Ovis aries: one gene and its partners. The protein of the gene in region 6 interacts with the protein of the main gene of each other region in a pairwise test. Links are inferred from orthologs where the notes say so. Each region holds a gene or a part of one and is shown on either strand. Other genes may lie near its edges.

Evidence for each region.
Region 1: the proteins of CEP70 (region 6) and TEAD4 interact in a two-hybrid assay, tested with the Homo sapiens proteins (2 studies listed by BioGRID). The two-hybrid records come from large-scale screens. The link is inferred for Ovis aries from reciprocal best matches to the Homo sapiens genes CEP70 and TEAD4.
Region 2: the proteins of CEP70 (region 6) and EMD interact in binary tests that used the Homo sapiens proteins (3 or more experiments, as listed by UniProt). The two-hybrid records come from large-scale screens. The link is inferred for Ovis aries from reciprocal best matches to the Homo sapiens genes CEP70 and EMD.
Region 3: the proteins of CEP70 (region 6) and LENG1 interact in binary tests that used the Homo sapiens proteins (3 or more experiments, as listed by UniProt). The two-hybrid records come from large-scale screens. The link is inferred for Ovis aries from reciprocal best matches to the Homo sapiens genes CEP70 and LENG1.
Region 4: the proteins of CEP70 (region 6) and C9H8orf33 interact in binary tests that used the Homo sapiens proteins (3 or more experiments, as listed by UniProt). The link is inferred for Ovis aries from reciprocal best matches to the Homo sapiens genes CEP70 and C8orf33.
Region 5: the proteins of CEP70 (region 6) and TRIM29 interact in binary tests that used the Homo sapiens proteins (3 or more experiments, as listed by UniProt). The two-hybrid records come from large-scale screens. The link is inferred for Ovis aries from reciprocal best matches to the Homo sapiens genes CEP70 and TRIM29.
Region 7: the proteins of CEP70 (region 6) and KAT7 interact in a two-hybrid assay, tested with the Homo sapiens proteins (2 studies listed by BioGRID and IntAct). The two-hybrid records come from large-scale screens. The link is inferred for Ovis aries from reciprocal best matches to the Homo sapiens genes CEP70 and KAT7.

Annotation. Positions count from the first base shown.
Region 1 is NC_056056.1:212,673,494-212,677,768, forward strand, and holds the start of TEAD4 (transcriptional enhancer factor TEF-3), read right to left. Parts: upstream 2,801-4,275; 5' UTR 2,454-2,800; coding exon 2,183-2,453; exon of another isoform or gene 1,992-2,182; intron 1,946-1,991; exon of another isoform or gene 1,614-1,945; intron 1-1,613. UniProt on the Homo sapiens protein: Transcription factor which plays a key role in the Hippo signaling pathway, a pathway involved in organ size control and tumor suppression by restricting proliferation and promoting apoptosis.
Region 2 is NC_056080.1:80,070,509-80,074,443, reverse strand, and holds EMD (emerin), read left to right. Parts: upstream 1-1,135; 5' UTR 1,136-1,259; coding exon 1,260-1,341; intron 1,342-1,439; coding exon 1,440-1,547; intron 1,548-1,714; coding exon 1,715-1,792; intron 1,793-1,981; coding exon 1,982-2,115; intron 2,116-2,586; coding exon 2,587-2,633; intron 2,634-2,715; coding exon 2,716-3,052; 3' UTR 3,053-3,455; downstream 3,456-3,935. UniProt on the Homo sapiens protein: Stabilizes and promotes the formation of a nuclear actin cortical network. Stimulates actin polymerization in vitro by binding and stabilizing the pointed end of growing filaments. Inhibits beta-catenin activity by preventing its accumulation in the nucleus.
Region 3 is NC_056067.1:63,980,614-63,984,887, reverse strand, and holds the start of LENG1 (leukocyte receptor cluster member 1), read right to left. Parts: upstream 2,801-4,274; 5' UTR 2,775-2,800; coding exon 2,643-2,774; intron 1,285-2,642; coding exon 1,105-1,284; intron 488-1,104; coding exon 225-487; intron 1-224. Other genes in the region: TMC4 (transmembrane channel-like protein 4), read right to left, coding at 3,393-3,461, 3,558-3,636, 3,875-4,030, 4,128-4,258.
Region 4 is NC_056062.1:13,261,976-13,266,066, reverse strand, and holds the start of C9H8orf33 (UPF0488 protein C8orf33 homolog), read right to left. Parts: upstream 2,801-4,091; 5' UTR 2,774-2,800; coding exon 2,768-2,773; intron 2,689-2,767; coding exon 2,643-2,688; intron 2,546-2,642; coding exon 2,403-2,545; intron 2,213-2,402; coding exon 2,128-2,212; intron 1,985-2,127; coding exon 1,838-1,984; intron 1,356-1,837; coding exon 1,216-1,355; 3' UTR 1-1,215.
Region 5 is NC_056068.1:30,425,500-30,429,475, forward strand, and holds the start of TRIM29 (tripartite motif-containing protein 29), read right to left. Parts: upstream 2,801-3,976; 5' UTR 2,633-2,800; coding exon 1,829-2,632; intron 1-1,828.
Region 6 is NC_056054.1:251,194,955-251,198,454, reverse strand, and holds part of CEP70 (centrosomal protein of 70 kDa), read right to left. Parts: coding exon 3,354-3,500; intron 1-3,353.
Region 7 is NC_056064.1:36,570,451-36,573,950, reverse strand, and holds part of KAT7 (histone acetyltransferase KAT7), read left to right. Parts: intron 1-962; coding exon 963-1,139; intron 1,140-2,540; coding exon 2,541-2,780; intron 2,781-3,500. UniProt on the Homo sapiens protein: Catalytic subunit of histone acetyltransferase HBO1 complexes, which specifically mediate acetylation of histone H3 at 'Lys-14' (H3K14ac), thereby regulating various processes, such as gene transcription, protein ubiquitination, immune regulation, stem cell pluripotent and self-renewal maintenance and embryonic development.

The DNA of each region.
Region 1 (4,275 bases), on a different chromosome or scaffold from region 6:
ACAGAAGGCATAGCAGAAAGGAAGAGATGAGGAAACAGCTATCCAGAAGGGCCTCCCCACAGGTCAACCCAGTGAATCAGAGGCAGCCTTCCCCACTAGGAGGGCAGGAAAACATTCTCACTACATGGTGGTCCAGTCAGTCAACAAGAATGAGGGTCCTTCCATTTGACCCCCAGGCGGCTCCAAGGAGAGCTGGACCAGTAGTTCAATTTACCCCTGTCCTTGGAGCCAACTTTAAAAGCACTGTCTAGACAAATACTATATGATATCACTCACATGTGGAACCTAAAAAATACAACAAACTAGTGAATATAACATAGGACTCACACATATAGAGAGTCAACGATTGGTTTCCAGTGGGGGAGTTGGGGGTGGAAGGAGCAAGCTAGGGGTGGGGGAAGGGCAGGTACAAACTATTGAGTGTCAGACAGGTACAAACTCAAGGATGTATTGTACAACACGGGGAGTATAGCCAGTATTGTTGTAACTGCAAATGGAAAGTACCTTTTACAAATTGTATTTTTTTTAATCAAAAAATAAAAGCACTGCCTACACAAATCTCAAGATGCAAAATGAGCTCTTTCTGGGGGGAGGGTGTCCAACCCCTCCCACAAACATGCCCAAGTCTCACTATCAACAACCCACCCCTTCATGGAAAGGCAAGAATCTCAGCTTCCCTAAACTTGCTACCAACGTGTTCCCTAAACTCTTCCAGGCAAGAACAAAACCGACCTCCCCAGAAAGACAGCTGCCTGCGAGAGGCAGGTGTGCACAGCTTCCCTGCAGCTTCGCGGGTCCAGGGCGAATGAAGCCCGGGGACCACACAGCCCCACAACCACCGCCAGCTCCTTGGGCACAGACACCACCAGAGACTCGCTGTCCTGCCCCCGCTCCTGCAGGGAGGGAGGACTGTCCCGCCCAGGAACATCCTCACAGGGGAAACACACACTGAGAGACGTGGCATCTCGCTAGTCCTCCAAGACGCTCAGCTTACAGACAAACAGCGCTTTTCTAGGGTGGAAAGGCGCTCCCGTTCAACACAAACATGCCTCCTGAAAGGTAGGTGATCTCATCGGTGAGCAGGTATCACCCTCAGACACCCGGAGCTAAGGAGGCGGCACAGTCACACGCCACGTGAAATCATCACTGACCTGCCAGGTCTGGCCCCGAACCCCCTCTCCCCTCGACACACAAGCGCACAGAGGCGCGAGTCCCGGGTCTGCTCGCCCTCCGGGGAAACGTTCGCTTCGGGCTGTGGAGCTCTGCTCTTCAGACTCACTGGCCTCCAGCACGGAGCGCACCACGCTTCTCAAGCCCTGGGAAATGGGGACCTTTGGCGGAGGTCCTCTCCGCTCTCGCAACGCCTCGGCTTGAAATCGCCAGGACACCCTTTCCAAGCCCGAGAGGCGCCCAGCAGAAGAGAGGCGCGGGCGCTGGGTCTCTTTTCGGCCGCCGGCGACCTGGGCTCGGCCTCCGATCTTTTCGGCTCCGCGCGCTCCCCTTCCTTCTGGCCCTCGCGCCCACCCCAGCCTCGCGGTTCGCGCGACTCCACGTGCCCGGCTCGCCCCCAAGTCCGATCCCGGGTGAGAGCTCCTCCCGCGCCGCCGTCTTACCGGTCCCAGGGTGCGGGGAGGTGGGCGGGTACGCGGAGCCAGCCCCGCGGAGTCCGCCGCGGCGCCGCTCTTCCAGCCGCGGCTCCGCTGAGGTCCGGCGAGGCGGGCGAGGGCGCTGCAGAGACAACGCGGGGTCGGCGAGCGGAGACCCGGGCTCCGGCCCCGGGCCGACCGGCTGAGCCGGGATGAAGGCGGATCGCGGGACGGAGCCGACTCCGCGCGGGCCCAAACCCAGCTCGCCCCGCCCGGCGCGCGGTACTCGGTGCGCGGTGTCCGGTGCGCGGTGTCCAGCGCGCGGCGGCCGGTGCGCGGAGCGGGGCGGAGCAGAGGGCGGAGTTTTCCCAGAAGGGGACTGACGGGAAAGCACGGGCGATCCCTATTCCTGGCGGGGTGAGTCAACGGGAGAGGAAGGGAGCTGGGGGAACAGAGCGCGCGCGGGAGGGCGGAAGGGAGGGAAGCGGGAGAACGGAGACGGGAGAGGGGGACAGCGGGCCCGGCGCGCAGGTCCCAGGCGGGAAGGAAAGAGCGCCCGCGGCGCGACCGAGGGGCGCGGCGTCCGGGCCACTCACCTGGGGGATGCGGCAGCGCGGCGGAGCCGGGAGCTGCGGGTTCTCCCCGCCCCCGGCCTCGGGTTTGAAAGGAGGAAGCCTGGAATGCGCGGAATGAGGGCTGGAATGAGATGCGCGCGGTCGAGGGCGGGAGCTGGAGGGAGTGGCGGCCCAGCCCCGGGCCCTCGGGGAGGAGACTGGGACGCGGGGAGGGGCCGCGGGCTGGGCGGGCCGGGGGCGGCCGCGGGGACCCTCGGCTGTGACCTCGGCATCCGGCTCCGGCCGGGGCCATCGCCCGGCACACGTGCTTCCCCTTTGATCTCAGCCCCGACTCTCCTCCTCCTCCCCGGCCCGGGTTCCCGCCCCTGCCGGCCAGTCCCCCGCTCTCTGCCGAGGCCGGAACCCTTCCTCCCGACCCTGCGGGCCGGGCTCTGGCTTCGCGCCCGGCCTCCTGCTCGCCTCTCCCTCCGCGCCGGCCCCGAAAGGGCGGGCGTCCAGCGCGCGGACAGCTGCGCCCTTCTTCCCTACGGGGCCCATCCACCTGGGACCCCGCTCCGGGGCCCAGGACGCAGGAGCTCCGCGAGCCCACAGGTGCCCTCCCCGCAGAGTCTTTCGGCCGCTCCCCTCCGCCCGGCTCCGGCCTGCATCGCGGTCATCGCTGAGAGCCGCGCACGAGGGGACCGGATGCCAGTATGACGGGCGTGTGGCGTGGCCGGAGACGCGTCTAACCCTGATCCTGCGTCTGTCACTCGCCCACCGGACACTGTGGAACAGCGAAGGAGAAGACCTCAGCACCTGCCCTCTCAGAGCTTATCATTGAGCTGGGAAGACTCGATCTATTGTGGAGCATCGCCAGAAAGTGGGGAGTCTGCGTCTTAAATACGCCAGGATGGATTTAGCGATTGGGTTTGTTTTCTGGAGTTTTGTTTTTGTTTTTAAGTCTTCAAAAGATACTAGCTTGACACAGGGTGCAATCACAGACCTCAGTCACCCTTCTTGCTGGGAGGTTGAAACCAGAGGACTTTTATCTTTTTCCAAAACTCAGGTCCAACCTCCCTGGAGCCTTATTGCTTAACCCTGTGCTGTAGTGGGTGTCCAGATCTTACCTCCCTTACCAAACAGAAACTCCCTTAGAGACAGACTAAATGATCGATTTATCTTATCTTTCAGCCAGCTCCGGCTTGGTGCCTGGGATAGATAAGTGTATAATAAATATTAAGTTAAAAATGAAAAAGCAGAAAGCTACTGCCACAGATCCTGAAAAGAAAGTGCTACAAATGCTGAAGTGACTTCCAAGAGAGATGTTCCAGTGGTGTGTGTTTTTAATAATTTTATTTCTCCAATTTTGGCTGTGCTGGGTCCGCTGCATGCTTTTGTCTACTAACTGCGAGCAGGGGCTGCTCTCTAGTTGCAGTGTGCAGGCTTCTCATTGCAGTGGCTTCCCTTGGTGCAGAGCACGAGCTCTAGGGCTCAGTAGTTGTGGGGTCCGGGCTCTAGAGCACAGGCTTAGTAGTTGTGGCACAAAGGCTTAGTTTCTCCGCAGCATGTGGGATCTTCCCAGGTCAGGGATGGAACTCCTGTCTCCTGCATTGATAGGCAAACTACCGCTGAGCCACAGGGAAGCGCCCAGTGGCCTTTTGAGCATCACAGCATCGCTGACAAAGTATTGAGTCTCTTGAGGTGGAGATTTTGAAGGAAGCAGGTCTCATTTGCATATAAATTCTGGTCTGTTTGTTAACTAATGCAACACATCAGGGCTTGGTCACAGCTTGTCCACATGAGACATGTCTACAGCTCAGGACAACAGGCAGGCATTCAGTTCAGTTCAGTTCAGTTCAGTCGCTCAGTCGTGTCCAACTGTTTGCGACCCCATGAATCGCAGCACGCCAGGCCTCCCTGTCCATCACCAACTCCCGGAGTTCACTCAGATTCACGTCCATCGAGTCCGTGATGCCATCCAGCCATCTCATCCTCTGTCGTCCCCTTCTCCTCCTGCCCCCAATCCCTCCCAGCATCACAGTCTTTTCCAATGAGTCAACTCTTCGCATGAGGTGGCCAAAGTACTGGAGTTTCAGCTTTAGCATCATTCCCTCCAAAGAAATCCCAGGGTTGCT
Region 2 (3,935 bases), on a different chromosome or scaffold from region 6:
TCATCTTCTTCCTAATTTTCATGGGACAGCTCTTCCTGACCAAGGCTCTCACCAACTCCCTGTGACAGGCCCTGGCTGCCTTCCATGGTTTGCCCCCCTCAGTCCCCTGGCCCCCCTGTCTGGGAGGCTCCCTCTGCACTCCCACGACCCTGAAGCCCACTGAGACCCAGGTGCTCAGAGTGCATTATCGGAAGCCTGGGGCAGGTCCCTCTGGCAGCCTCCTGGGTCACGCTGGGCTCAGGGGCCATCCCAGCCACGGTGGGGAAGCCCCTCGCGCCTCTGGTGCACTGCCGGTGGGTGAGGCAGACACCCGCCATCTCGGCATCACAGGGCGCCCCATGCCAGTGCCCATTGGCATGCCCGGGCCCCTTCCAAGGCTGCTGGCTCCTGGAGGGCCGGTGGCCTCCTGGCCCAGTGCCCCATTTCCTCTGGGGTGCAAGGGGAGGGAGGGAGGCGGTGGGAACCGGCGGGCGCAGGCCAGGATCCTGCAGAGCGGGAAGGCGTGCTGGGGCAGGGGGTCTGGGGCTCTGGGGGGCGGTTTATGGTCAGGTGGCTACAGGCTTCCTTGGTGTGGCGCGCGCGCGCACTGCGCGTGCAGCAGCGCCTAGTCTGGACCCGTGCTCTCCAAGGGCTTGCCCCTTCGGATCAGGCCCCTTCTCGCAGCCGCCGGCGACGCGCCCGCCTGGGGCGCGGCCAGGGACCCGCAATTGCTGGAGCAGAGGGGCAGTTGAGACCGAGCGGACTCCACGTGACTCAGGGAGGGCGAGCCCCGCCCAGCGCGCAGCCCCGCCCAGCTCCCGCATCCTGCCCAGTTTCTGCCGGTTGCATGGCCACAGGCCCCGCCCCTCCACCCTTCTGACCCAAATAGCCGAGCGGGTGACGTCGCGGCTCGCGGGCCCCGCCCCGCTCCCAAGCCGGGGCGGGTCTAAGCTAGTTCCCGTCGCGCCCAGGCCCCGCCCCCTCGCTGGGGTCCAGCCCTAAATGCGCCAGCGTGTGACGTCTCTGGGCTCGGGAGCCCCGCCCCTCCCCGCCCATTCGCGAGGCTCCACCAATCTGCGCTGGCAGCTCTCTGCGAGGCCCGGCCCCGCTCCGCACAGCGCGCGCTGCCCGCGGAGACCGAGACTGTGACGCGGGCGTGACGCGCGCGTAGCCGCTCCCGAGGCACTCCTGTTTCCCCTGCCGCGCTCCGAGGCCATCGTCTCTCGGCCGGTGTTGCAAGGCCCAGGCCTCCCCCAGGCCTCCGCCGCCCGCTGCCCGCCATGGACGACTACGCAGTCCTCTCGGACTCCGAGCTGGCCGCCGTGCTGCGCCAGTACAACATCCCACACGGGCCCGTCGTCGGTACGCGGTGGACGGAGGGCGGGCCCGCTCCCCGCGCTTAGCCCCGCGGCCCCCTCTCGGCCCGCTCCCTGACCGCCCTGTGCCCCGCGTCTGATCAGGTTCCACTCGCAAGCTCTACGAAAAGAAAATCTTCGAGTATGAGACCCAGAGGCGGAGGCTCTCGCCCCCGAGCTCGTCCGCATCCTCTTTCTCCTATCGGTTCTCGGGTGAGGCTCCCGTCCCAGGGCCCCGCCTGGCCGCCCTTGGGGACACGGTTTGGGGGACGCTGAGGAAGGGGTCGCGGGGGTGTGGCCAGGGCACTGGCTGGAAGGGGCGCGGGGGAAACGGGAGGGGACCCCTGTGGGCCAATGGTCCTAGCCCCTCCCCCATTCAGACTTAGATTCGGCGTCCGTGGACTCGGATATGTATGATCTGCCCAAGAAAGAGGACGCCTTACTTTACCAGAGCAAGGGTAAGGCAGGGGTGGGGTGGGCACTCTGACACCTTCCTTCCAGTGTCAGCCAGAACCTGAGACCTCAACCCCATGCGTCCTGCAGTAGCCCTGCAGCACCCCCCCCCCCAATGGGATTCAGATTAGGGCCATCGGGCCAGGTGGGGACACCGTTGCCCCTTCTGCTACCGCTGCCCCCCCCTTCCTAAGGCTATAATGATGACTACTATGAGGAGAGTTACTTGACCACCAGGACTTACGGGGAGCCTGAGTCTATGGGCACATCCAAGGGCTTCCGCCAGCCCTCAGCTTCACTCTCAGATGCTGACCCCTTTCACCGCCAGGTGAGCTGAGTTGTCGGGCACCCTGTACTTGGGTACAACCTGAGGGGGTCCTCATGGGGTTTGGATGAGTCAAGGGAACCACTGGGCACAAATGGTGGCTCAGAAACCTCCAGGGAGAGGTGGGGCCTGCAGACACCTGCCTGGTCAAGACCTTTGGGGTGGGGGAAGGGGCTGTCAGAACTGTTTTGACTAGTGTGCCCAGGACGTGCCCTGGCTCTGGTCTGGGATCTAGGTTTGAGCTCTTTTTGAGAATTCTGGGGCAGAAAGTAGGATGCAGGCAGCCGGGACAAGTGGCACGGCCCTGCAGACATAAGGCTGAGGACCAAGAAGGGGGTCTGGAGGGTGGCAGGGCCCAGGCCTTTAATCAGTGTTCAGAACAGGCTGGGAAGGGCAGTTTGGACTGAGGGTATGACCTGTCATACCTACACCGACCCTGTCAATAGGTATTCTCATTCTGATTCACTTCTGTAGGTCCGTGATGACAATCTTTTCTCTTTGGAAGAGGAAGGCAAGGATCGGTGAGTATTAAGGCGAGCCAGGGGCTGGGGCTGATTCAGGACTCAAGCCCTCCTGGTCTACCTACTGCACTCTTTGCCTCAGGGAACGCCTCCTGTATGGCCGGGACAGTGCCTACCAGAACATTGCACACTACCGCCCTATTTCCAACATCTCCAGAAGCTCCCTGGGCCTGTCCTATTATCCCACATCCTCCTCCACCTCGAGTGTGTCCTCATCTTCATCTTCGGCCCCTTCGTGGCTCACCCGCAGAGCCATCCGGCCTGAAAAGCAGGCCCCTGGGGCTGCCGGCCTGAGCCAGGATCGCCAGGTCCCGCTCTGGGGCCAGGTGCTGCTGTTCCTGGTCTTTGCTGCCTTCCTGCTCTTTGTTTACTACTCCATGCAGGCCGAGGATGGCAACCCTTTCTGGGCAGAGCCCTAAGGGTCTGACCTCGTACCTTGGAGGCCGGCTCCTCTTGGAAGCCCTGGCTGACTGCCTTATCAGTGTTTGTTGGGGGAGGGGGGTTGGGGCTTTTCTGTGTGTTCTAGCTTGGGGTTACCAGGACATGGGCAATGTTTGCTGACCCCTGCCCTGTCCTGCCAGGGAGGCAGCAGGCCTGGGCCCTCTGCGGCATGGTGGACCTGGGTGGGCCTGCCTCTGGATCCTCCTGGCCCTGCTTGCCTGTCACCCTTCGGGCCTAGGAGGGCAAGACCCTTCTCCTGGAGAGGAGAACATGGTTTTGGTCATCGCATGCCTCCTATTTGTCGTCACCTCATGGGGGGATTAACCAAAGGCCACCCTGAGTTTGTTTTCGTGGACACAATAAAAGACCATTTATTTTTAATGTGTGGGTTCTTTTCTTTAACATGGGGAGGGGTTGGGCTGCCCCCCTGCTAAAGGCTTCCAGGCCTTGGGTCTCCAGAATTGCCATCCAACTTTGTCAGTTCATCCTTTCGTCCTTTGAGCCTGAGATAGGGATCATAGGCAACCCATAAACTCATTTATGTTTTGCTTTTGGTGCCCGCTCCCTGACATGTTACCAGAAGCTCTTGTAAGTGCTTATAAAAAATAGTCACACAGAGAGCCCACTGGGAAACGCAGGTGAGGCTGCTTGCACCGTGTCAGTTCTGGGTGTTTCAACTGGGACCAGCAGACACCAACTGTGGTGTCCAAGGGCAGAGTGATGGGAAGGAAATGAGGCATCTGCTTGATGGGCTGCTGGAAGGCTGGTTGTCTAATGACAGGGGAAGGCTCTCAGTCCTCTGGAATGTTTCATCTCCTTTTAGTAAACCAGTTCCTCACCTGGGTATTACCACAAGGTTTT
Region 3 (4,274 bases), on a different chromosome or scaffold from region 6:
CTGTCCAGAATCTAATGTATACAACGTGAACAAGAGCAAGCAGATGGCCCACCAGCCACCAGGGCAGTGGCCTTGTAATAAATACCATGTAGTCTCTGCAGACCCCGGAACAAGGCTGAAAACGTTCAACGGTGTTACGAAAATGGGCCTGACCTTGCAGACCCCAGAGCCCCTGCCTCAGCCAGAGCGCCCGTGGTGCCCACTTGGCCAAAGAGGCTCCTTACTCTTTGGGTCGCTGTTTCTCAGGCGCCTTCTTTTCCTTTGTGCTGTGACCACCACTGTCTCCACTGTGCTTTCTCTTCTTCCCCAAGTGCTTCTGCATCTCCCGCAGCGGGTCCAGGCGGCTCTTGATCCTCTCGTCGGGCCCAGGACCAGAGGCGGGGCCGCCCGGCCTAGGGGGCAGCTGGTACCATGGGGGCTGAGTCTGGGCTTCCGCTGCACTCTGTCCCAGGTATGTTAGGATGCCCAGGGCTTTCTCTTGCCTCTCCTGAGGGAGACAAGATGTGAAAGTGAGAACAGGAAGCATGTTCCCTCTCAGGCAGCCAGGGTTCCCGCAGAGGCAGAACCAGACATTCAGCCAGCAGAGCCCGTCAGGAGCCGACTCTGCCAGCTGCTGGGACTTCAGAGATGAGTCCCCGGGGTGCCCCTGCTCTGGGGCACCAGGACAGCTTCAGCAACAAACAGCATAGGAAGGAGGGGACTGCTTATGTTAGGGTTCAAAGGCAGCATCTTTGAGGAGATAGAAAAGAAACTGTGAAGCCAGCCAGGTAAAGCAGTGACTGAGGGGGGAGGGGCGGGGAGGCAGTCTGATAGGAAACCCCGAGGGCAAGTGAGGGACAGCGTCTGATTTACATTTTAAGAAGCTTAACACTTCCCAACATCTTCAAGGTTTGCACATCAGGTTAGAGACCTGAGGGGGTCTACCTAGCACCCGGCAATAATCAACACCTCTTAACATGCTATGTTCTAATACTATTCTGAGTTCTCTAGCTTGTTTAATCCCCACCATCTCCCTAAATATTCCCGTAATCACACCTGAGGGCAAGGTACACCCCCACCCCTGGCTCCACCCGTGACCCGAGGAAGAGGGTAAGGCCACCTTACTTTCTCCTGTCGCTTCTCTTCCTCGTACTCTTTATTGCCTCTCGTCGCCCCCTTGCCTTCTTCCAGCAGCTCCCGAAACAGATCCACAGGGCCAGAACTGCATGGGGCTCCCGTTTCTGCTTCCAGTGCAGGAAGTGAGTTCTGATGCCTGGCTTTCTTCCGTAGGAATTCTGTGCGGGCCTGGAGGGAAAAAAAGTTACAGGCAGAACATTCAGAACCTAGCTGTAGCCCAAGGGACTCTTGAGCCTAGTGCTGACCACTGCAGTGGTAAGGGCTCGAAGGAAGGGAGCAGGGGCACTGGGAACCCAGAAGAGGCACCTGACTATTCCTGGGGAGAGGGTGGAGCAGTGAGGCAAGGCATGGTTTGTAAGCCATCTTCCAAACAGTAAACGAGGGGGTTTCATTTCTGACACAATGAAAACAGCTATAAAGGCAGCCAAAACATCTATTAGGACAGGTGATCTGAATTCCAGGAAGGGCGCTGAGTCATTATGCCCATTTGATTTCCAATTTCTATTGATAACCGTGAACTTAAAAAATATTGCTTTGGCTGCATCAGATCTAGTTTTATAGCATGTGCGATCTAGTTCTCTGATCAAGGACTGAATCTGGGGCCCCTGCATTGGACGCCACTGGGCCACTAGGGAAGTCCGATAAAGGTGAGCTTTAAAAACCCTGACTACCTCCCAGCCAGTGCTGACGATCGGATTAGTCAAAGGACTGGAAGCTAGGTGTAAACCAAACAGGTGAGGAGTTAGAGAGACTCTCTAACGTTTGTGCGCAGCGGTGCAGGCAAAAGGCACGCCTGGCGCAGCGGGACTGGCTTGAGACACTGTCGCTTCGCTGTGGCTCCTCTGAAGCCATCTCACTTCTCCGCCGAAGGGAGATAACCGCCCCGCTAAGAACGAACAGGGCTCGAGAGACTGCAAATCAAGCGCTTTGCACGGGATGAACAGGGGAAAGCGAAACTGAAGTCGCTCAGTCGTTTCCGACTCCTTGAGACCCCATGGTATGTAGCCCACCAGGCTCCTTCATCCAGGGGATTCTCCAGGCAAGAATACTGGAGCGGATCGCCATTTCCTTCTCCAGGGGATCTTCCCGACCCTGGGGTCGAACCCGGGTCTCCCGCACTGTAGGCAGACTCTTTACTGTCTGAGCCGCCAGGGGACAGCAAGAGCTCACTGCACAGGGTGTTTGTACAGCTAAAGTAACAAGCGGCCCGAGCTTCCGTGAACTGCCCAGGGCTCCGATTACTCACGACCCCCTACTCCGGCCCTCCAGGAGGACCAAGGAGAGGTCGAGGGGAACGTCGGCACGGCCCGCAGGCCCAGCCCGCCCGGGAGCCGGGCCCCAGGTCCGCCAGGGTGGCCCGCTCCCCGGCGCCGCCCCGCTCCCCGGCGCCGCCCCGCTCCCCGGCGCCGCCCCGCTCCCCGGCGCCGCCCCGCTCCCCGGCGCCGCCCCGCTCCCCGGCGCCGCCCCGCTCCCCGGCGCCTGCGCGCTGAGCCGCGGCGCCGCGTCCGCCCGGGCCGGGGGCTCACCTCCTGCTGAGCGAGCAGCGCCCTCCGCTCACGCTCTTTCTCCTCCTCACGGGCTCGGGCCTCGTCACGCCGCACGCGGGCGACATTGTCCTTGTTCCGGACGTGCCAGCTCTTCTTGGGTAAAATATTCATGGCGCCTCAGCCGTCCGCGGACCGACAGGCCCACCTCCTGGCACTTCCAATTGGCGAGAGGCAGGCCCCGCCCCGTTGCTCCTTCCTCGGCCACGGATTGGCTCTGCGCTGCCTGACACGACCCCCCAGGGCTGTAGCGAGAGGTGACTGGCTGCGGGGCCCACGTCCCCCGTCTCCGAGAATCGCGCGTGGCGTCGCCTAGCGACCGCCGCTCCCCAAGACTCTGATTCAATCACGTGTCCCCGCCCCGAGGCTCCTGAACGCAGCCGCTGATTGGCTGGCGCGGTCTCTCTCGCGGAAGAGTCCGCCACGCTCTCAGAGCCACACATTTGATTGGTTTATGTCCTGTGAAGGCTTGCCCCAGCTTCTGGACCGGAGATTAAAAAGCACTCAGCGGCCTCCGCTGTGTTTATTGACACAGTACTAGATTCATTGATACAGTACTAGAAAGAGGTTCACTGGAGGGTCGGGGCCTCAGCAGGGAATCCCAGGGCTGGAAAAGCACGGGGTCTTCCCCAGTTCACTCATTTTCCAAATGATGTTGACGAAGCTCAAAAAGGATCTGGGAGCAGGTCTGGGGCTGGAAGTGGGACGTCACCCCAAGCCAGGCTGGAGAGGTCAAAGAGTTCTGTCGGCCGAGCTCAGCGCCACAGCACGCTGTGCCAGGAAGACTTTATTCTGCGCCTCCTGAGGGAAAGGTAGAGGGGAGGTGAGACACATCTCTCCCCTGTGTTCTTTTTCATACTCTCCAGGACCCCTTCCCAGGGGCCAGGCCTGGCTCACCGTCTGTATCTGGCGTTTGAGTTCAGAGATGAGGCGTCCATATGAGTTAGCCAGGGCCACTGTATACGCCATCAGGATGCTAGCGGAGATAAAGTGGAAGCCACTCCGCAAACGTTCTCAGAATATCTTCCACGTAGGGCTTTTTAGAAAGCAGGGGTCTGGACCTCCTCCTTCAGACTCAAGGAGTCGAAGCATCCCAGCCCCCTCCTTCCCGAAGACCCAAGAGTTTGGGCCCCAACCCCCTTCTCTCTCGGAAGCAGGCAGCGGGACCCCAGGTCAGACATTCAGAATCAGACCCAGGAGTCTAGCGCCCTCACCTGGAGATCAGCAGAAGGGGCACAGCAAAAGCCTGGGTACCCAGGAAGAAGAGAAAATTCTGGGCCATCTGAGGCAGTTTGCAGATAGACTCGGGGATCGCCACCCAGATGGACGACTGACCCCGGAATGGACCACACAGCTTGGAAGGTGGGATCCTGGAATCAGAGATAGGCAGAGGTCAAGGATGGCCCAAAGTCAGAACCCTGGACAGGAGGGTGGAGGGTGGGAGAGGCCGGTACCTCCCACACTTACAGGAAGATGCTATAAAGCACAGGAACCGCGGAGATGGCCAGACCCAGGAGAAGGACCAAGGGGAAAAAGAAATTCACAGTGGAGGCTCGAAAGGTGCGGGAGGCCGGGGAGCAGGTGGAGAAGAGGGTGATCTGGCAGGAGGGGATG
Region 4 (4,091 bases), on a different chromosome or scaffold from region 6:
CACACACAGACACACTCACTCACTCTTTGGAACTGGATCCAGGAACTCCTTTTGCAGAGATGACAGATTTTGGGCCTAATCAACTAGGTGGGCAGTAGTGGAATTCACTGGAAAGCAGCAGATAGATTTAGGGACTAATCAGATGTGAACATGTCAAGTGTGAAATATCTGTGAGACACCAAAGCAGAGATGCTGAGTAGGCAGATGGGCTCTGGGTCTCTGTCTAGTCTGCAAGTTTGGGAGACACTACCAAAGATGGCATCACAGTCACAAGATAATTAAGCCACCGTGAAAACCCGACTTAATGCAGAAGTCCTGGGACTATCACCTGGAGCAGCTGACATCAGAGCTTGCCCAGAGATTCAATGCTGGTGTTTGGCTAGGATTCTTAGGGCAAGAAGCTACCTGCTCCTCAGAACAAAGCCTGGGCTGCTGGGGGATACACTGGCTCCTTGAGGATGACACCTGCTCAGGAATGAAGGCGATACAAAGGACCAAGCCCTGGGGTGAGAGCCTGGACCCAGCAGCGCCTGACACCACCTCGTCTACATTTCCCGTAACAGCACAGTTAGCACACGCTTTTGCTTATCCACATTTATAAGAAACAGTTTTATTACAGCAATGGGACTCAATGGTATGGAGCGCCATACCACTTGAGAGGACATCCCTCCATAAGTGAGCACCAGTGTACAACTATACAGCTTCCCCACTAACCCTTATTAACAATACCTACTTAGTCTGCTCCTGAGACTGTTGAGAGTCTTATAACAGGGGTCCCTAACCCCTGGGCCAGTACTGGTCTATGGCCTGTTAGGAACCAGGCCACACAGCAGGAGATGAAGACAGCGAACAAGGAAAGAGTCATCTGTATTTATATCCACTCCCCATTGCTTGCATTACAACCTGAGTTTCATCTCCCACCCTCTCTGGGGAAAAACTGTTTTTCATGAAATCTGTCCCTGGTGTCAAAAAGGCTGGGGACAGCTGTTTTACAACACAGTGTGAACACTCACTTCAGTCTACTGTAGAACCATCTAAAGGAACTCCCTATTCTGGCAGGAGGGACATCTCAGCTGAAAACCTAGAAATGGGGTCCTGGGCTTGTCAGCACCCAACATGCAGGTCTCCCATCTGCCCCCCACAGCATTCCTGGAAAAGTGCTGCACTCCAGAGAAACCCTGCCCCACTGCAGAGGTGGCCACTCTAGGGAAGAGGCTAAAAGAAATTAAACCTAAACTCTTCATCACGAGTATCCGAGGTGCCCTTGGACCTTCCTTCTGGTCGAGGTCTGCAGACCCTTCGGCTCTTTTTTCTGGCAGCCTCACCTACAGGCTGCACCTGGGCTGAGTGGGCAGCTGTAAGCGAAGAGAGGGACAGTATCAGAATTTAATAATAATAGCAGTGGCACCCCACTCCAGTGTTCTTGCCTGGAGAATCGCAGGGATGAGGGAGCCTCGTAGGCTGCCGTCTCTGGGGTCACATAGAGTCAGACACGACTGAAGTGACTTAGCAGCAGTAGCAGCAGCAAACATTAACTGCCCATACAACTCTAAACTCATTGTAAAAATTAACTTACTGGCTTCTCAAAATTATAAGGTAAGTACTATCATCTCACACCCTTAAGAATCAGAGATTCACTAACGCTGCTCTCCTTGCCTCCCTAGTCCAAGCCGGCGTTCTGTGACCCGCGCCTCAGGCTTTCTCCCCGCGGCTTTCCTGACTCCCCTCCTACTGTGGGAGTCCCGCTGCTAGAGGCTTCCCCCTTTCACTGCCCAGGCTTTTCCTTCTGCCCCCTTGAACTAGGCAGTTCTTCATCAACCAGTTCTCAGCTTCTCACCAGTCCTGAGAGCCTGCAGGGCCTCGCGCCACTCGGCTTCTATCTGAGCCCTGTAGTCCCCAAACAAAGAGCGCATCAGCTGCCTCTTCCGGGGCAGGGGGGTTCTCTGGCTGCGCAAGGTTCGGATTGCTCCAAGAGCTTGTTCTTCTGCAAATGAAAACAAAGGACTAGTAACCTTTATCCTCACTTCCAACTGTCCTACCGCAAAGGCAACAATTCCATCCCTTGGCAGCACCTGAGGCCATAGGACTGTCACCGTTTCCCTCCCCCATCTACAGATGGGCCCTCACTCTGCTTAGGGGTGGGTCTCTGCATCTTCAGTCCCAGCTCCAGCTTTTCCACGCACCAGGCCAGTTCCCGAGCCAGCTGCTCAGCCTATGATGGATTGTGGTTAGTGACTGTAAGCGGGCGTCAGGGCGCTGGGGCCTCCAGCCTCATCCCATAGGAACCCCAAACGCCGCATCTCACCCACTTCCCGCTGTAAATCCAGGACTACACCCACAGGCGGGCTCCCGCCCAGTACGTGCCCGGGACTTCACCCTTCCCGACTGAGGCCCGCCCTTGCCTGGGCCTCTGCGCTTAGGGGGGCTTCCTCGGAGGCCTGTTTTTCTGGGGTCTTCCCGCTTCCATTGGCAACAGACGACCCATCCTGGATTTTCTTCTTTTGCTTCTTGGTCCTCGAGGCAGAGTCACGGCACGTAGGGCGCCCTAAGCAGACGGACTGGCTGAGGCCTTACAGTGAAAGGACTCGGGGCTTTAGGAAGCAGCCTGGGGAACCAGGGGCTGCAGGGTGCACGGGCAGTACCTGGGCCTGGGGCTGCCGCTGTCTCCCGAGCAGGATGTCCTGGAGCCTGGGGAAAGGGGGAAAGGACGAAGGTCATGAGGAGCCGCCGACCGCCCAAAGGCGTTCCCCACCTGTACACCGCTTACCGCCATGCGCTCCCGCTGGGACCAAGGAGGGCTGGGGTCCCACGCCGAATACGCTCCGAGGGAAACAAGTCTGCGTCGCAGAGTTCCGCGGGGCGGGGGCTGTGCGCGCTGTGGGTGGGGCGCGGGCGCTTGGAGTACCGCCTGGACGAGACCCACTCAGGACCTACTAGGTTGCAGGTGGTGGTGGCGGGTTAGTCGCTCAGTCGTGTCCGACTCTTGCGACCCCATGGACTGTAGCTCGCCAGCTCCTCTGTCCCTGGGATTCTTAAGGCAAGATACTGGAGAGGTTGCAGGCACTGCTCTGGATGAAGGGACGCTACTCAAGGGAACGTACCTGCTACTCAAGGGAACCACCTGCTAGTGGGGCGGGAACAGTGGGAAAACAGGGGGCTTCCCTGGAGGCCCAGCAGTTAAGAACTTGCCTGCCAACACAGGGGACACGGGTTGGATCCCTGGTCTGGGAAGATCCCACGTGCCTGGGCAGCAGAGCCCACAGTAGGCAACTGCTGAAGGCGCGGAGCCTAGACCCTGAACCCTGCAACAGAAGAAGCCTCCGCAGCGAGAGGCCTGTGGCTGCAACTAGAGAATAGCCCTTGCTGGCCACAGGTAGAGAAAGCCCATGTGCAGCAACAAACACCCGTCGCAGCCACAAAAAACATAAACAGTAAAATAAAGAAGGCCCGTAAACAGACATGAATAGCTGTCACTGAGAGCGACGCTGTAACAGTGGCCCCAGCAGGGCGGGGAGTGGTCAGCAAAGTCCTCCGAGGAGCTGCAGCCCTGGCGGGGCTGCTCTGGCAGCAGGAAGCAGGGCGGGGGCGAGCCACACGGCGAGGTGGGCGGGTCGTGGGGCCCCGGACCGAAACGCAGGCGGCTTCTGTTTCAAGAGAAGTGGAAGAGGGTGAGAGAGGGGTTCGGGGGTTAAGGGAACCCCCTCATCCCTCGGAGGAGTGTCGCAGTGTCGCGGCCTTCCCCGGACGCTGCTGTGTGGTCGGCACCATCTCCCTGCGCTTCCAGGCCCCCGGCCCAGGGCCACCCTACTGCACAGCCGCTGTTGGCCCCGCAGCACAGGCGTCAGGGACTTCCCTGCGGGTCAGGCGGTAAAAGCGTCTGCCTACAATGACGGAGACCCGGGTTCGATCCCTGGGTCGGGAAGGTCCCCTGGAGAAGGAAATGGCAACCCACTCCAGTATTCTTGCCTGGAAGATCCCATGGACAGAGGAGCCTGGTGGGCTACAGTCCATGGGGTCACAAGAGTCACATGGGGTCACAAGACACGACTGAGCGACTTCACTTTCACTTTCTTTCACAGGCATCAGGAGGG
Region 5 (3,976 bases), on a different chromosome or scaffold from region 6:
AGCCTGGCAGTCTGCTTACAGAGGGTTGCAAAGATTCAGACATGACTGAGCGCCAGCATGGCACAGCTGCTTGCAGTAGCGATAGGAGCCTGCAGCCCTGCCTTCTGGGCGTCAGTTTGCCCCCCTCCTCATCCCTGAGGTCTCAGAGATATTCCTAAGAATCTTCAGGCTCCAGGGGGTCATTTGAAAACTTCCAATCTAGTCCAGTCCCTTAGTTTCATGTGAAGAGAAACCAAGGCTGAGAGAACATAAGGGACTTGTCCACTGTCTTAGAGCTGGTTCGAGGAAAAACTAGAACTGGAGCTGCGTCTCCTAAAACCCAGCCTGGGGCTCTGCAATTTCTTGGTTGTGGTGGTTGAGGATAATTACCTGCAATCTGTTTTGATTCCCTAAGTGAGACCCTGGAGGAGATCCATGGCCCCTGCTCCAGCTCCATCTCCCTGTCTGAAGCCTGAAGCCAGGCTGGGGTCAGGGAGTTAGGGAGACTAGGACCACCTTTCTTTCCTGGGCTAAATGAGGCTCCTGAAAAGGCTCTTTGAGCCTTTTGTCATCTCTGACTCGTCTCTCCTGCCCAGGAGTATGGATAGGAAAGAGTGACCCACAGACTTCAGGTCAGGAGGGCTGGGCACAGAGGGGGGCCTGTGCTGCCCCATTCTGTGGGGTGCAGAAAGCAGAGTCCCCTGCCTTGACAATGAGCATGGCTGACCCCAGCTGGAGGACGCACCACATCAGGGGGCTGTGTTGTTGTAGAGGGAGGAGTCCCAGTATCTGTACAGCCACAGACGAGCCCTTATCCCAGCACATCCTCTCCAGGAGTAAGGCGTACCACATTCACAAGCCTCCACACGCCTCTGCTCCTCCCCGCAGAAGCACAGGCAGAATCACGCACACAGAACACATGCGAACACACTCACATGCCACATAGACAGTCACATGCAAGCATCCATACACAGACATAAGCACCCACGTGCACAGAAAACACACACACGCACACACATGTACACCCCTCCCCCCGACTCCAACCGCCACGAGTGTCCACCTACAGGCAACGGCCACACACACAAAGCACTGAGCGTCCAGCTGAGGGAAGGATAAAGGAGGCTGCTGGGAGTGTCAAGACTGGCTAGGGGATCAGACAGAACAAGAAGGAGCCACTGCCTACAGAGACCAACTCCGAGGTCAGGGGAGAAAGGGCCTTGACGTGGTCCCCAAATTCCCTCCTCCTTACCCATGACTTATCCCCACGAGCCAGTCCTCCTCAACTAGGAAGAATTCTCTCTCCATTAAGTAGAAAGAGGTGGCTTTCCCAGTGGCTCTGATAGTAAAGATTCTGCCTGCAAGGCAGAAGACTGGGTTTGACTCTTGCGTGGGGAAGATCCCCTGGAGAAGGAAATGGCAACCCACTCCAGTATTCTTGCCTGGATAATTCCATGGATAGAGGAGCCTGGTGGGCTACAGTCCATGGAGTCACAAAGAGTTGGACACGACTGAGTGACTTAGCACCGAAGTAGAAAGGAAGGAAGAAGCACCCAGCCAGGCAGAGAGCCCAGGAAGGAATGCTGATCTCCTGGCCTGACTTGAACTTGTCCTATGACCTTGGCCAAGCCCCCCATCTTTGCTGAGCCCCTCTTTGCTCATTTAGGAGATGACTTGACTCCTGAGGCCTTAGAGGATAGGGGAACCATCTCTGACTCCCAGTCTGGGGGTAGGAGGGGAAAGGACTGTTTTCTGAAAGAACCAGGAACAGCAGAGAGGTAAGCCCCAGACCCTGGGAGCGGCCGTGGAGCAGGTGCGGTGGGAGGGCACTGCGAGGGCGGCCAGCTCTTACCTCCTTCTCGGCCTTGGCCTCTTCCACGGTCACGGTGCTGTGGTTCTTGTGCTCCTGGAACATGCAGAGGTAGCAGATACAGGTCTGGTCGGTCTGGCAGAAGAGCTCCATAGTCTTGCCGTGCAGGGGGCACTTGCGGGCCTCGAAGTCCCGGATGGGCTCGAGCAGCTGGTGGTCGCGGAAGGCGGCGCCCTCCAGGTGGGGCTTGAGGTGCAGCTCGCAGAAGGAGGCCTGGCACACCAGGCAGGACTTGACGGCCTTCTGCTTGTTGCCGATGCACGAGTCGCACAGGACCTCCTCGGAGCCCGACTTGGAGCGCAGGAGGGTGCTGGAGTCGCCCCGGGGGTAGCTGTTCCGCCGGACATCTCCGGGCTCCAGGATGGACACCGAGGGCTTCCGAGGCTCCGAGAACATAGACCTGCGCGGCTCCCCCTTCTCGGCAAAGGAGACAGGCGGCTTCTTGGCAGCCCCCAGCTGGAGCCCGGCGTAGGGCGACCTCCTGCCTTCCCCAGAGTCCATGCTGAAGTAGCTGGAGCCCTTGTCATCCACCGACTCGACAAACTGGATAATGGGCCGCCGCCACTCGCTGCCGGAGAACAGGGAGCTCCTGCCTTCGCCCGGCTTCAGGGCGCCGCCTGCGCCCTTGCCCTCGGCCACCTCCCCGCCGTGCCCATTGGCAGTCTTAGCCTCTTTGTCTTCAGCTTTGACCCCATTCTCCAGGCTGCCACTGGGGCTCAGGGGGCTGCGGACATCCCTGACTTCAGGGCTGGCCCCGTTGCTCCTGGAGGCGTCTGCAGCTTCCATCGCGGCTCACCTGGCTGGTCTTTGAACGCGCTGGGGGTTCAGGTGGGTGACCTCTCGGGCAGCGGCGTCTCTGCAAGAGTGAGACAGGCAGCCACGGAGCCCGAGACACACCTACCGGGAGCCAAGAGGAGGGCCTGACACAACGGGCGGGCAGGAGAGGCAGGCGGCTCCCAGAGCCAGCAGAGCAGCTAATTATACAGAGGGGCCACGCCCTGCACATTCATACCTAACCTGGTTTTTTAAAGAAGTGTTTTTATTCTTCCCCAGTTTAATTATTTTCCACAGCTCAGCAACCAGTTGCTGCTTCCTTCTGATACACTTTCTTCTCATCAGGAAAGCGGGAGCCTCTGTCCTCGCAGGTGGGCAGGCTTCGCTGAGCCAAGCCAGCCGTGGGACAGAAGGTGAGGTGTCCACAGAGGCCCACAGGACTCAGGGCTATTTAACTGGGTCACACAAGCCAAATAATCTTGAAACGTGATGGCCTGGGTTTCAGAGGAATATCCCCCTGCCGCCCTGAGACACTGGAGTTGCTTCTTATCTTTTTTTTTTTTTTTAATTTCCATCAAAAAGTTTAGTACTTTTTTAAATTAGAGGATAATTGTTTTACAATATTGTGTTTGACTTCCTGTCTTAAAAGGAATGGTGGGTTCCACTTGATTTGGAGCTAAAATTTCAACCGAAGGCCTTTGAGAACCAACAGCCACCTGACTATCTCAACGGAAGACAGATTCAGGAAGTCACGTCCCACCCAGCAGCCCTAACAAGATGCTTACGGCTTTATGTTATTTCTATCAGAGCAAGTTAGAACCTGCTTGGATCCAAGGGACAGGGAGACAGCAGTGAGGGACAGAAACGCAAGCAGTGCCAGGCCAGGCGGCAGCGTCCTCAGGGCCCCCACCAAGGGAAGGGCTGTGCCTCTCCCCGGCCGGGCTGGACTGGACAGAGCAGAGGTGGGAGTGGCTGGGGTGGCAGGTTCCAGGCTGTGTGTAGGGGAGTGGGTTTCCTTCCCCTCGAATCCAGGTCAAACTCTGGGAGCCCCCGCCCCTTTGGCTCACCAGGCCGAACAGCTAATCCTCTGCAGCAACAGCTCCTGGGAACGAGAGCAGAGACAAGCTTAGCTCCCCAAGCAGCCAGAGTTTTAAGAGGAGGTGTGGGGGCGGAGAGTGCTGCTTCATCAGGGGGATTCCCTCTCACCTTGTGTCTCCGTTCTCAGGCTCCACAGGAGCCCCGACTCGTTTGAACTCACTGGTGAGTGGTCTAAGAGTTCGTGGGGGCTCCTGGGGGCAGGAAACACTTTCTCAAAAAGTCTTGCTCAGGACTTCTTTGGTGGACCAGTGGCTGAGA
Region 6 (3,500 bases):
GAACACCAACAGGTCCAACACTGCTGGCCCCAAGCTGGCAGGCTAAATGAGGGCAGAACACCAACTGCCTGCAGCTTCATACCAGGAATTCTTAGTATCTCGCGCTGTTTCTCTCTGATCCCTGAAATTTAACTTATCACATCCTTCCAATGCTGCTAGCATAAACTGAGGGGACAGCCAGACCCTGCCTAAGGAGTACTGTCCCTTTAGGCAGCTAAACACCTTGTATGCAACAGGTACACATAATGCTGTGCCAACAGAAAACATTTATAATGATATACTGTTTCTAATCTGTAATGTCTTACACAACTATTGATTTTTCCTACAAAAGATTTCTTTCTTTCAACTACAATAAACACCCAAGTTTTAAAAGAGGTTTTTAAAATTAGGAATTAAATATTCAATGTTATAACATTGCTATTTCAATAAAAACTAAAAAATTTATAATCAATAATTCAAATATCTATTGAGCATCTACAACTAATAATAAAGCAGACATTTTCTCAGCCCTAGACAAAACAGACAAAAATATCAGCCCTCATGGAGCTTGCATTCTAACACAGAGATATACAAACAAAGTGTATAGTATATCAGCATGTTAGATGGTGGTAAGAATTATGGATAAAACAAAGCAGGGAAGGCCAGATGATATGTTGGGGGATAGGACTGCCAACTGTAAGTGAAGCAGTCAAAAAAGGAATCCCGGAGAGATGGTGATGTGACACTTGAGTAAGCAGAGAGGAAACAAACCACGCAGCTAAAAAACCACGCATGGTAGCGGGAAAAAGAACAAAATATACAAAGTCCCTGAGGTGAGAATGTTCAAGGAAAATGTTCAAAGAAAATCAAGAATGCCAGTGTGACTGGAATAGAATATGCAAGAGGTGCAACACAGGGACAATCATGCAAGATCATGGTAAAGAGTTTTGGATTTTTCCCTTAAAAAAAAGAAAAAGTGAAGTTAGAGGGTGCTACAATGTTGAGAGCACATTGAAAAAGGCAAGGCTTGGAGTAGGGAAACCAAGAAAGACACAAGAAAGAAATGAAAGTAACTTGGACCAGAGTGGAGACTAAAAGACAAAAGTTTGGGGAAGAAATCCAGGTATGGTTTTGGACATGTTAAAAAGTTCTACATGCCTAATTAGCCATCCAATAGAGATATCAAGTAGGATGCAGGATGTGAGTATGCAATTAAGGGAAGAAGCCTGTGCCACAGATTTAAAAGTACTATGACTTAGACTGAGCATCACCAAAGAAGTTAGAATTTATAGGAAAAAGAAAGGTCGGAGAAGGCAATGGCAGCCCACTCCAGTACTCTTGCCTGGAAAATCCCACGGACGGAGGAGTCTGATAGGCTGCAGTCCATGGGGCGGCTAAGAGTCAGACACGACTGAGCGACTTCACTTTCACTTTTCACTTTCATGCATTGGAGAAGGATGGCAACCCAATCCTTCTTGCCTGGAGAATCCCAGGGAGGGGGAGCCTGTTGGTCTGCCATCTATGGGGTCGCACAGAGTCAGACACGACTGAGCGACTCAGCAGCAGCAGCAAGGGATGAGTACAACCCAGATAACCATGACGGTGTGATCACTCACCTACAGCCAGACATCCTGGAATGTGAAGTCAAGTGGGCCTTAGAAAGCATCACTATGAACAAAGCTAGTGGAGGTGATGTAATTCCAATTCAGCTATATCAAATCCTGAAAGATGATGCTGTGAAAGTGCTGCACTCAATATGCCAACAAATTTGGAAAACTCAGCAGTGGCCACAGGACTGGAAAAGGTCAGTTTTCATTCCAATCCCAAAGAAAGGCAATGCCAAACAATGCTCAAACTACTGCACAAGCTTGCACTCATCTCACATGCTAGTTAAGTAATGCTCAAAATTCTCCAAGCCAGGCTTCAGTAATACGTGAACGGTGAACTTCCTCATGTTCAAGCTAGTTTTAGAAAAGGCAAAGGAACCAGAGATCAAATTGCCAACATCCACTGGATCATGGAAAAAGCAAGAGAGTTCCAGAAAAAACATCATTTCTGCTTTATTGACTATGCCAAAGCCTTTGACTGTGTGGATCACAATAAACTGTGGAAAATTCTGAGAGATGGGAATACCAGACCACCTGACCTGCCTCTTGAGAAACCTATATGCAGGTCAGGAAGCAACAGTTAGAACTGGACATGGAACAACAGACTGGTTCCAACTAGGAAAAGGAGTATGTCAAGGCTGTATATTGTCACCCTGCTTATTTAACTTCTATGCAGAGTACATCATGAGAAATGCTGGGCTGGAAGAAGCACAAGCTGGAAATCAAGATTGCAGGGAGAAATATTAATAACCTCAGATATGCAGATGATAACACCCTTATGGCAGAAAGTGAAGAGGAACTGAAGAGCCTCTTGATGAAAGTGAAAGAGGAGAGTGAAAAAGTTGGTTTAAAGCTTAACGTTCAGAAAACGAAGATCATGGCATCTGGTCCCATCACCTCATGGGAAATAGATGGGGAAACAGTGGAAACAGTGTCAGACTTTATTTTGGGGGGCTCCAAAATCACTGCAGATGGTGACTGCAGCCATGAAATTAAAAGACGCTTGCTCCTTGGAAGGAAAGTTATGACCAACCTAGATAGCATATGAAAAAGCAGAGACATTACTTTGCCAACAAAGGTCCGTCTAGTCAAGGTTATGGTTTTTCCAGTGCTCATGTATGGATGTGAGAGTTGGACTGTGAAAAAAGCCTGAGTGCCAAAGAATTGATGCTTTTGAACTGTGGTGTTGGAGAAGACTCTTGAGAGTCCCTTGGACTGCAAGGAGATCCAACCAGTCCAACCTAAAGGAGATCAGTCCTGGGTATTCATTGGAAAGACTGATGCTGAAGCTGAAACTCCAATACTTTGGCCACCTCATGCAAAGAATTGACTCATTAGAAAAGATCCTGATGCTGGGAGGGATTGGGGGTAGGAGGAGAAGGGGACGACAGGATAAGATGGCTAGATGGCATCATTGACTCGATGGATGAGAGTCTGAGTGAACTCCAGGAGTTGGTGATGGACAGGGAGGCCTGGCATGCTGCGATTTATGGGGTCACAAAAAGTCGGAGACGACTGAGCGACTGAACTGAAGGGATGAGTCATGGAAAATGAGAAGAATCAACAAAGGGATCAAAAAATAACCAGTGGGGTTAGAGGAAAACCAGAAGAGAAGATATTATGGAAACAGCAAAGAAAGAATTTCAAGACAATGACAATAATAGGTAAAGGAAGATAAGGATCACTGAGTTAAGCAACATGGAAGTCACCTGTAACACTGACAAGGTGTTTTAAGACTATCATGTAAGAAAATGTTTAACTCAGTACCTGTAAAGCTTTATGCTCCTTTTGAAGTTCTTTTATTTTATTCTGTTGCTGGCAAACCCTATTTACAGATTCATCCTCCATTTCACCAATTTTGGACTTCACACTCTCCATAATTTGTTCCAAGTCATTAGCTCGTTGTTCCTGATC
Region 7 (3,500 bases), on a different chromosome or scaffold from region 6:
TGAGACTTTCAGTTTTCTTTGAAGAATCTGTAAGATTTACATATTAGGATCTTTTTTTGTTTAAAATAGACTTTAACTTCTGAATTGCCTTTATTCCTGTAAGTATCTTTAGATTGGAGATGTAAAAGAACTGTTGGCTGCTTCAGAATAGATTTTTGCATCCAAAACTTTTTAAAGTTGTAGCCCTGCCTTGCCCTTTATGAATCTAGTATTATTTTGTTTTAGAGTGTCAGACAGGGTAATCAGGAAGAAAAAAGGTCCTTAAAGAAAGGAAATATTGGTTTTTCATGTTTTTACATAGAATCTTTGTTATTTCAAATATTGGCCACTTTTTTTTTAAGAAAGTAAATATGATGCCATCAAACCAACAGTCCATGTTGGCAGGCTAGAAGTTCAGTAGTCCATAGTCTTGGCTGTAAGGCCTCTGATTTGGCCTGGTGAATCACAGCCTCAATAGCCTACCATTCATTCCCCATTACTGACAGTCATTCCTCCTCAGAACTACTAAAGATGTTATATCTTTAGTAGTAGAGTATCTCTTTTCTGGTGGGTTAAAGAAAGAAAGAGCATGTAGCTAATATTTATAAAGCACTACATTTAGATATCTAAGGATCTTATTAAGTCCCTTATGTGAGTTATTTCACTTATTTCTCACAGCGAATGTGTGAGGAATGTGTTACTAGTATTTTCCCTTTTTTAAAAATAGATCAGGAAATAGGCTTGGAGAGATTAACTTGCCCAGTATGCCCAACTAGTTAGTATGATGAAGTGGAATTGAATTACATTCAATCTTGATTCCAGTGCCTAAGCCATTAGTTCTGTGCTGTACTGTACCTCTCTGCCATCTCTATGTTGCTTATATTTAGGAGAACCTACATGCTAATAAGTCACACTAATGGAATATAAAACAGATTTCTTTCTTTTTTCTTTAATTGTTTTATTATTTTTAAAATCGGGATCAGATTCCAGTCCTGTTCGAAATTTGCAGTCTTTTGGCACTGAGGAGCCTGCTTACTCTACCAGGAGAGTGACCCGTAGTCAGCAGCAGCCTACTCCAGTGACTCCGAAAAAATACCCACTTCGGCAGACTCGTTCATCTGGCTCAGAAACTGAACAAGCGGTTGACTTCTCAGATAGAGGTGAGTGGGTGTGGGTGATTTGGAGTCATTACAGAGAGGATCTAATCAGTTTCATCTTAAAAGAGGCTTGGAGCCGCTGCAGATAGATGCCCAGTACAGAATTCAGCTGGGTGATTGCAGTTTGTCTGATTCCTTTCTTAAACCTCTTGCTGAGGACAGTTTGATACTCTGCTGTTCTTGAGGTCCAGAGTAGCTGGATTATTATTTGATCTGGCTTGCAATAGGCAAAAGAAACTGACGACCTCTTACTCACAGATGAAGAAGGCTTAAAGCAGATTTTCTTACAGTCGTGCTTATGGGTCCATTTATGTCTGAAGTTCTGAGGAGGAATGACTGTCAGTAATGGGGAATGAATGGTAGGCTATTGAGGCTGTGATTCACCAGGCCAAATCAGAGGCCTTACAGCCAAGACTATGGACTACTGAACTTCTAGCCTGCCAACATGGACTGTTGGTTTGATGGCATCATATTTACTTTCTTAAAAAAAAAGTGGCCAATATTTGAAAAAACAAAGATTCTATGTAAAAACATGAGTTACTAGTTTCTTTTGAAAAATGGAAAGCTCTGGGAACATTAGGTGGCCATTCACCACATAACTGACTAGAACTGAATAGTAGTTATCCCTTTGAGAGAGACAGTTGGCTCTTGATTTGGCCTTGCTCAGCACTAGTAGGCATTTGGTTTGCAACACCTGATTCAGAGTCAAGTCCTTTCACACTCACTGCTACTGCTGAGTCACTTCAGTCATGTCTGACTCTGTGCGACCCCATAGACGGCAGCCCACCGGGCTCCCCCATCTCTGAGATTCTCCAGGCAAGAATACTGGAGTGGGTTGCCATTTCCTTCTCCAGTGCATGAAAGTGAAAAGTCAAAGTGAAGTCGCTCAGTCGTGTCTGACTCTTAGTGACCCCATGGACTGCAGCCCACCAGGCTCCTCCGTCCATGGGATTTTCCAGGCAAGAGTACTGGAGGGGGGTGCCATCGCCTTCTCCTTCACACTCACACCAGGTGTGTTCAGTTTCATCCAGAAAGAATCATTTTCATTTATATTCAATCCTATGTATCTCCCAGCAAGAGAGTAGGATGATAATGTTTTTTAAAAGTTTATTTCCATCCAGGTTTGATTATTCATGATTTGGGGCTTAGGAGAAGCACAAATGAGAGAAATGTATCATGTAAACCTCAAATGGAATTTTAGTCAGAATTTAAAGTTGCAGAAGAGGAATGCTGTTATTAGTTTTTCTTCATTTTCCATTTAGTTTTATGGCAGATAAATGGCAAAAGTTCCTGATTAAATCACAGAAAGAGGATCTTGGGAAGCCTGTAAACTCTTCTGAATGTAATAACCCTCTTAAGTAAAATACACTCTGTTCATGAGTTTTACCAATTGTTTTACTTTAGAAACTAAAAATACAGCTGATCATGATGAGTCTCCACCTCGAACGCCAACTGGAAATGCCCCTTCTTCTGAATCTGACATAGACATCTCCAGCCCCAACGTGTCTCATGATGAGAGCATTGCCAAGGACATGTCCCTGAAGGACTCGGGCAGTGATCTCTCTCATCGCCCTAAGCGCCGCCGCTTCCACGAAAGCTACAATTTCAACATGAAGTGTCCTACACCAGGCTGTAACTCCCTAGGTAAGTGTGCCCCCACCTCATGACACTGTGGATTGTGTGGTTTTCTTTCTCTCTGGAATTAGGATCACTCAGAAATGTTTAGTGCTCCATTGCAACTTAGCTTCTTAGGCTCTTCAATGACCACTGCTTAGGATAACACTGAATTGTTCACTTGGATAAAAGCATTCCTGCTTCCTGGCTTATTGTCCATAATAACAGATTTAGTTACAAGGAAATTAACTATGATGCACCATTCAGTTTATTGAGAACTCTTCCCAGTGAAAAGTTCTTTCATTTTTCCAACAAAAACAAAACAGAATGTCAGTTATCTCCAAATACCTCATTGTATGGTGCATAGTTCAAGTGTACCGAGGACTAGTAGAGTGTAAGGTGAATAAATTATGGTTATATGGCCATAGCTATTAAGGAAACAGTTTTTTTGGTCAAGAGGTACTGAAGGTGAGGAGTATGGATGAGACCTTGACCTTTTGTGACTTTTAGGCCTTGTGGCTTTGTATGCTTAGGAAGTATAAACTAGATAAATATTTCTTCTCAGATAGATGAGTTATATCATTGTTTCCTTAAGGGTTATTTTTTCTCCTTACTGAGGGAGTCTAGTAATGTTTTAAAAATCTTCCATGTGTTCTTTAAGTGAGCTTAGGTGCAGATGTTGGTCTAAACTGTTGTCTAGAGTTGGAAGGTGCTGATTGGAAGACAATGGGCCTCTCTTTCTGTCTATCA